Linked DNA regions of Nothobranchius furzeri. The protein of the gene in region 1 purifies or fractionates together with the protein of each later gene. This does not show direct contact. Links are inferred from orthologs where the notes say so. Each region holds a gene or a part of one and is shown on either strand. Other genes may lie near its edges.

The links. Proteins that work in one complex are often made in the same cells at the same time.
Region 2: the proteins of rpl7l1 (region 1) and rexo4 purify together in Homo sapiens (affinity purification with mass spectrometry; 3 studies listed by BioGRID and IntAct, with this or other methods). This does not show direct contact. The link is inferred for Nothobranchius furzeri from reciprocal best matches to the Homo sapiens genes RPL7L1 and REXO4.

What each region holds. Positions count from the first base shown.
Region 1 is NC_091742.1:28,214,902-28,218,918, forward strand, and holds the start of rpl7l1 (60S ribosomal protein L7-like 1), read right to left. Parts: upstream 2,801-4,017; 5' UTR 2,737-2,800; coding exon 2,723-2,736; intron 2,421-2,722; coding exon 2,312-2,420; intron 1,746-2,311; coding exon 1,582-1,745; intron 760-1,581; coding exon 622-759; intron 548-621; coding exon 438-547; intron 1-437.
Region 2 is NC_091756.1:33,915,092-33,919,085, forward strand, and holds the start of rexo4 (RNA exonuclease 4), read right to left. Parts: upstream 2,801-3,994; 5' UTR 2,560-2,800; coding exon 2,362-2,559; intron 2,289-2,361; coding exon 1,984-2,288; intron 1,901-1,983; coding exon 1,754-1,900; intron 1-1,753. Other genes in the region: pigp (phosphatidylinositol N-acetylglucosaminyltransferase subunit P), read left to right, coding at 3,256-3,337.

The sequences.
Region 1 (4,017 bases):
GCGACACACACACACACACACGCACACGGACACACACACACACACACGCACACGCACACAGACACACACACACACGTATTGTTGCAGGGCTGAAAGAACTTTGAGAACCAGGTGCTTTTGCTGGTAACTCTGTTGTCCTGTGGGTGGACGTGACCCAAGCTTATTAATGTTACTACTACTTTTTTACTTGATGTAGTTTTGAAACCAGTACTTTTATAATTTGACTTGAATAAAAAGCTTGAATTGATGCTTGAACTTCTACAAGTCCTTTAAAACCCTCGTGTCTGTACCTTTACTTAAATAATGAATGCAAGTGCTTTTGACGCGACTGTCCTCTAGCCTGGTGAACCATCCGCAGCGCCTCGCTGTGTGTGTGTGTGATGTGTGTGTGGTGTGTGTGTGTGTTCCCAGCTGGAGCTCAGGGCAGTGTGACGCACCCATGTGCTGCTCTATGAAGTTGTTGTCTGTCAGAGGAACCCTTCTCCTGCCGATCCTGGTCTGGCCTCTCTTCAGGACGAGCTCCCGGACTGACTTCAGGTTGGGATATCTGGGAAAGGTAGTGTTCATCACCCAGAGCGACACAGAACCAAACCTACCGACCCAGCAGTCAGAAAGCCTCACCCCCACGCCACGTAGGGCTCCACCATCCTCATCATGGAGACGGACGTCTGGTTGATCTTGATGAAGGCTCCGCTGAAGATCTTCCTCAGCCTCATCATCTGGATCACCTTCATGACTTTGGGGCTGACACCTTTGACCCTGCCAGAACCAGAACGTATTTTTTACTTTTTATTAGACTCCAAATCACTTGGCACATTTCTAATTCATAATTTGTAAGAATGTAATCGACAATATTAGCATCCCTATGGGTTTTTCCATGTATATTAGCATTGGGCTAACCACTCGCTGCCAGTCAAATCGCAGCATTTGCCATTAGAAAATCTCCCTAGAGCCCATTTACTGACATGGAAGTGAAATCTGCAATATATCGTGAGATTGATTTTAGGCCGTATGGCCCAGCCGTACAACATGCCGATATATATCACCATTACCATACATTTGCTATGTTTTGAGCTATGTTCGGCGTCCCTGTTCACCAACGTCAACAAGTTGCCAACCTTGCCAGTCTCTATACCAGCTGATCTCAGCAACCTGGAAACACACTGTACAGGTGGAGAGGGAGAGTGAGTGAGTAAATGGTAAATGGCCTGTATTTGATATAGCGCCTTCTAGAGTCCTGGAGCCCCCCAAGGCGCTTTACAACACAATCAGTCATTCACCCATTCACACACTGGTGGGGATGAGCTACGATGTAGCCACAGCTGCCCTGGGTCACACTGACAGAGGCGAGGCTGCCGAGCACTGGCGCCACCGGTCCCTCTGACCACCACCAGCAGGCTAGGTGGGTTAAGTGTCTTGCCCAAGGACACAACGACAGCGACAGACTGAGCGGGGCTCAAACCTGCAACCTTCCGATTACAGGGCGAGCTCTTAACTCCTGTGCCACCGTCGCCCAGTATGTGAGAGAGAGAGAGAGAGACTGCCCTAACCACCACGCTCACCCGTTGGACAGACACTCACATTCTGATGCGAACAACGAAGGCCAGTTTGTTCTTGGCCGACGGCAGCGGGGCAGGTGGCCTGTGGTGTGCCCTCTGGAGGCGAGTGTCATCACGATGCTTCTTGTGGCTGTCTTTCAGGAAGTCCTCCAAACGCTTGAACTTTAAAGGCTTTCCTTTTGAGATCTACAGAAACCAGGAGTACAGATTAGAATCAGGAACACACACGTTTGTCTTTCATGTGTGAGGACCAGCGCTGAACTAGCCCAGAACCTTTGAGGTCCAGAGATGGGACACTCCCACAGGCTTCGACAGAAGGGATGGGAGGGAAATCCTGAGGGTTTATATTAGACTTTTATATATTTGCACTAAAGCCCAAAAGTGAAGAATTTGTCATTTCAGTGTTTTACACACACACACACACACACACACACACACACACACCACAGCTGGAGAGATTTTTAAGGGAAACACTGTATTTATTACTTGATTGTTCAAAATATCTCCCAGAAGTGATTCTTTTTTAAACAGAATTGTTGAATGATAAAATAAGGTTAATTAAAGAAAAACTAAAGAACATTCTGGATCTGTTTATTTTTTTACCGAATGTATCGGATCGGGACTCATATCGGCAGATTATCAAAAAAATCAAATGACTCGGATTCCTGGGCAAAAGAACTGATCGGGACACACACACACACACACACACACACACACACACACACACACACACACACACACACACACTTTACCCTTCTCTTCTCCAGCAGAGCTAGCTTAGCCTGGGTGGCTTTGATCGCCTGGTAGGTTTTCCTTTTCTTCAGGAGAAACTCAGGAACTAGCTTGATCACCTTCTCAGACCTGATGGAAAACCACACAACAACTCAGACAAGAGGAGGCTGTCGCTGTCGGATCCGTCCAGCGGAAACATTTTAACGTTTTCACCGGAACTTTGTAAACCGGCTTCAGCGTCTAAACATAAACACGAACCCATCCATGTGAGACTAAAACTCACTATCGGCGGCTTCCTGGCCGTCTAAGCCACACATACACACCTGAGCTGGCCTGTTAACAGCTGCGCTACATAATAAACATCAGATGAGTTTAATTACAGCTGAAACTAAGGCGGATGCACCGCGATGGCATTGAAAACAGATACATACTCTGGCTCGGCCATGTTGACACCGCGGAGCCGCTTCTTCTGGTGTTAAACAAAGAAAAGCAAAGGTTCACTAGCGCCACCTTCTGGACTGGAAGCGAAGAGCGCTCATTCAGTATCAGCCAATAAAATTGTATTATTATTATTATCATCATATTATTATTATTATTATTATATTATTATTATTATAATTTTATTATTATTATATTATATTATTATAAAAACACATCCTCTAATCTCTGATGAGTAGTCTACTTTGATACATCAGTACAGGATTTAAACTGGGATTACCGTTGACCAGGGGTCGGCTCTTTCATCCATTTGATGCCCATGCGCCTCTCTGTGCTTGTAAAATAATTAATGAATATTTATTTAAAATGTATTTTATTTTACATCATTCTTTTTTATCTGTATGCCAATTTTAAACATCAACATTGCCATCTTTTAAAATTAACAAAAATGATAAAGACCCGAAATTATAATAATAACATAATAATGAAAACAATTTTGCCGGCAGCTATGTGTGTGTGTGTTTTGCACTTCAAGCACCGGTCTAAACAACCTGACCAGTGTGTCCAGAACGTTATAATTAAATTATCTCACTTAGAATGAATACAAACAACAAACAACAAATGTCTCTATAGGAGTTTTCTGAGCTGAAGAGGATATGAGCTTCTGGACTGTTGCCTCATACAGACTCACTCCTCCCACTGAAGCGAGTGTTTTCTAAACCCGGTCTCTCAGAGAGACTTGTCACTTAGAAAATGTTCCCTGGTTACGAAACTTTGGCTGAATAGTGCTTGTTCCTGTCTCCAATGTGGCGACCTATGTGTGTGTCGATGGTGGTGACGCATCCATGAGCCTGGCTGAGGCAAAAGTCCAGAAGCTCGTATCCTTATGGAGATATTTGGTGCAATAACATTTGTGTTTTTATCCCTGGGAACTTGAAGTCACAGAGAAATATTTAGAAAAATCACATCTTTCACAGGTACAAAAACAACAGATACACCAGTTCAAAATATTGGGTACAAGTACACAAAATGCATGACTTCAGTCACACATAAAAAAATCTTACACTCACAGTTTGTTACGGAAATTTTATATTCCAGTACTTTAATCCTATTAACTAATGTATTACCTTATGCCTGAAAGCATTCACACACACACACACACACACACACACACACACACACACACACACACACACACACACACACACACACACACACACACACACGTAGAGTGGTAAATGAAGTGCTTTAAGAGCTCTATATATTACCTCTACTTATGACCAATAAG
Region 2 (3,994 bases), on another chromosome or scaffold:
TCCCTCACTCGTGAACAAGACCCTGAGATACTTAAACTCCTCCACTTGGGGCAGGACCTCATCCCTGACCCGGAAAAGGGATTCTACCCTTTTCTGACTCAAGACCATGGTCTCAGATCTAGCTGTTGAACCTTTTCATTTGGAAACAACCTTATTTTTGCATAAATACTGAATCTGGTATGACCAAATTACACACGGGCAAGTAAATTTTAAATAAAATGCATCAGTAGGTACCTATGTCCAGTGTTGGGAACGTTACTTTAAAAAGGTAATTAGTTATAGTTACTGTTTACTTTGTCAAAAAAATAACTCAGTTACTTACCGAATTACAAGATTATAAAAGTAACTAATTACCAAAAAAAAAAATTTTTGTTGCATTTTTTCATTAAAGAATGCAAGATAAATGGGTTCCCCTCTTAATTAAACTTACTTAGTTTACTATAAATTACTACAATACTAAACTATAACTGACTAATGACTGGAACATAATAAATTATATGTCCAAATGTTTGTTATAAAACTGGATCATTTAAATAAATGGGCTCTTAACAGGAGGAACTACAAACAGGAATATTACACCAATCTAGAATATTAAAATGTCACTGTGTGATATTTAACCAGACCCCAATCAGCTAAAGTTTATAATTGCAAACAGAAACACCTGTAAAGGTTACTGAGCCTTTAAATGGTCTCTCAGTCTAGTCAAATTACTGTAATAAATGTAATTTTGCAAAATATTCTCATTTTTCCAGCTTGACATGATTGTGTGTTTTTAGCAGCATTTCTGTTGCTGGTAATCTAGTAATGGTTAAATAAATAAATAAATCCTTTAAAATGGCACTAGAAGTGGCACAAATCTGATGGAGGACTTAAATTTACTAATTTGGATCAGACCCAAACACAGAAGCTGGGTGGTAAAGACACACAGGTAGTTCTAATAACACCTGAGCACCATGACGTCTGAGACTGATGCATCAGTGTTACAGCAGGGCTAAAGAAATGAGCAGAAACAAGTTACAGTTGGGTGATCTAGGAAGGTAGAAGATCGTGATGTCCGAGCGGTGAACAGGTGAGCGGACCTTCGGGACGTCCCGCTGTCACGGCAAGAAGGGCACGGCTGCAGATTCACGCCTGCAGCAGCGAATCTGCGGATCTGCAGCCGTAGACTATTCATCACGTCTTCCTCGTTCTTCACGGGTCGTGATGCACTTGGATTAAAACATCCGCCTCTTCAGCTCCCGAGCAGCTGACAGCTTCAACACACCACGCTGCTGAATTACTAACGCTCGCATTTTCTTATCAGTAACGTAAACGGCGTTATGATAAAAGAAGACGATAATTAGATTACTCGTTATTAAAAAAAACTATTTTTTTAGTAATGCCGTTATTTTAAACATTGTTATTCCCATCACTGCTCGACTAGATTTTTTTATTTTACTTCTTTTTTTATTTCTTAAAATGTGTATACATAGAGCAGTTGCCTTGCAGCAAGAAGGTCCTGGGTTTAGTATTTATTTTGATACTCAGCACAGTCTATTCTAGTACTTGTGGTTCTAGTCATAAATCCAAAATTTAAGGAATGAATTTGGAATGGGTGTCCACCAATGACTACACTTTAGCTTTTAGCGCCAAACTTGAAAAAATTTCCTTTTAAACTTTAAATGTTTCACACAACGTGTGGTCAGTCATATCCTGGAAATAAAGTCCTGTCCAGCGTTCACACTAGAGGAAGCTTGTTTTTACAGCTACTCACCCCTCAAAACACTTCTCCTTCACCAGCATGCTCTCTGTGTCTTTGCTCTGGTGTTTGCCCTGTTTCCTCCTCAGGATCTCTGCAGCTTCTGCTCCCAACGTCTCCTCAGCATCATCAGGATCTACATCATCGAACCAAAGATCGTCCCTGCAACAAAACACAATAAAGAGTTAGGAATACAAAACTACTCTGGTCCACAATGTCTTCTAAAATCAGTACGGTGTACACACTCTGTAGGCTTCCTCTCCTCTACCACTGGTTTATTCCTCTTGGCTTTCTGCTCGCTGTTGGACTTTCCTTTGTCCCGTTTCCTTTTAGGAGCAGCTGGCTGCGGAGTGTTGGAGGCAGCTGGAACATCAGAGTTCACCTCTGATTCCTTTTGAATGGCAAATTTAGGAGCAACTGTGTGCTTGACTTTAGTCTCATTGTCTTTTTCACTGGGAGTCTTGGGAATATTTTTTAAAGTTTTCTTTGGAAAGACATTCTGTTTGGGTGACACAGGGAGCTTCTTCTCTGGCTTACTGGCATTTAGCATCTGTGGAAGGTTTCAGAAAAATCAGATTAACTTTGTAAATACACACCAGCATCACACTGATGCACAGACAAACCTCTTGGAGAGCTTTCCAGTTAGAGGAGAACTGCTGAGCCTCCTCTGGAGGTGTAGGCAGGTGAGGTTGGTGCTTCTGAGGAGCTGAAATCTTCTGAAATTTGTTTTTCGAGTTGTGTTTTATCCAAAACTCCTTCCTCTTAACTTTAGCTGTGGATTTAGGGTCAGAATGTGCTTTCTTCTTCTTCGCCTTAGACATTATGGAAAGTGTTTTTTAACAAGAAGTTGTTAAACTAAACGTTGTCAGCCATGCTGACATTTCAAAAACAATAGACAATGGCTGTTACCGCTGTCACTTAAAGTAATGTCTCCTTACCAAAAATCTGCATCAAAAATAAAACACTAACGTAAACAAGCAGCTCATTTTTTACAGAACAGCAGATAAACGTGGTTCTGCGTTCAGTTCGCAAATTCCGAAGCCATGCTGCGTTCGTTTTCCCGGCTGAGCAACAGCCAAATGGGTCCGATATGAACAAGACATCCCAGTATGAAACGTTCTACATAGTTTGAAAGCACTCTAATATTCAAATGTTTATTTTCTGTAAATATGTACTAAATCATATAAATTAGTAAATCTTCAAACAATTTAATTTGATGTCATATTTTTGTCTAGTGTATCAAAAGCGGAACTGCTTACCCGGGAAATTTTTCCGACCGAACTAACGCTGGTGCAAACTCGCAGCTGTTCTTAGGTTTTGTTGGAAATGTTTCCTGTTAGTATTATTTTAGAAATCCAGCTTTATTTACTCGTTATTTAGAAACGTAGGGGCACAAATGTTGTGAAAATTCGGAAATTTTATGAACTGAGGTAAGATGACAGAAGTATTTAAGGATGTTTTAGACTCTGGTTTGTGTTGCTTGCTTATTTCCTCTGCTTCCTGTTTGGTTTCAGATCATGGTTGAAAACTCTCCGTCTCCTGTCCCCGAGAGAGCTATTTATGGGTTTGTTCTCTTCCTTGGCTCACAGTTTGGTTTCTGTAAGTCAAAAATAATTATTTTATTCTGTTTTGCACACACACACACACTAGAACGCATCTTTTAGGTGACAGGTCAAGACTGTTCTTCCTGTATAAAATCAGAAGTAAATGATCTTTATGTTTACCTGTAAATGTGTCTGTAGTGTTTTGTTTTATTTTTTATATTCATCCTAGCTAATACACAATCTTACGTTTGTCTTGTGTTTTTAAAAGCTGACACAAGTAAAGATGGAAGACAAAACACAGCGGTGATCTCAACACTTTAAAGGATACACCTTTGTTAATTTTTTTTCACAACTCCCATGTGTGGTGTCAGGGTTAGCGTCCAAGCAGCAATGCCCCTAAAACAAAAACAGTTCTATTTGTTTGGACATCTCTGCTTTTGTGGCAGCTCTTTTCTACCTTTATGGCAGCCATCATATGACTGATTGACCATGTTTAAGTTTAATTATTTAGTGTCCGTGTTCAATTTAAACAAATGTTCGACTGTTTAAAGAAATGTTATTTGATTAAACTCCTAATCACACATTTGAATGTGAGGTTAGATTATTTCTATTAGAAGAAAGGCTATTTATTATGATAATTTAGCTTCTCGTATGTTTTATTCCTCAATGCACATCATGACCTGCTGACATAAATCAGTGCCTGCAGTCTCTT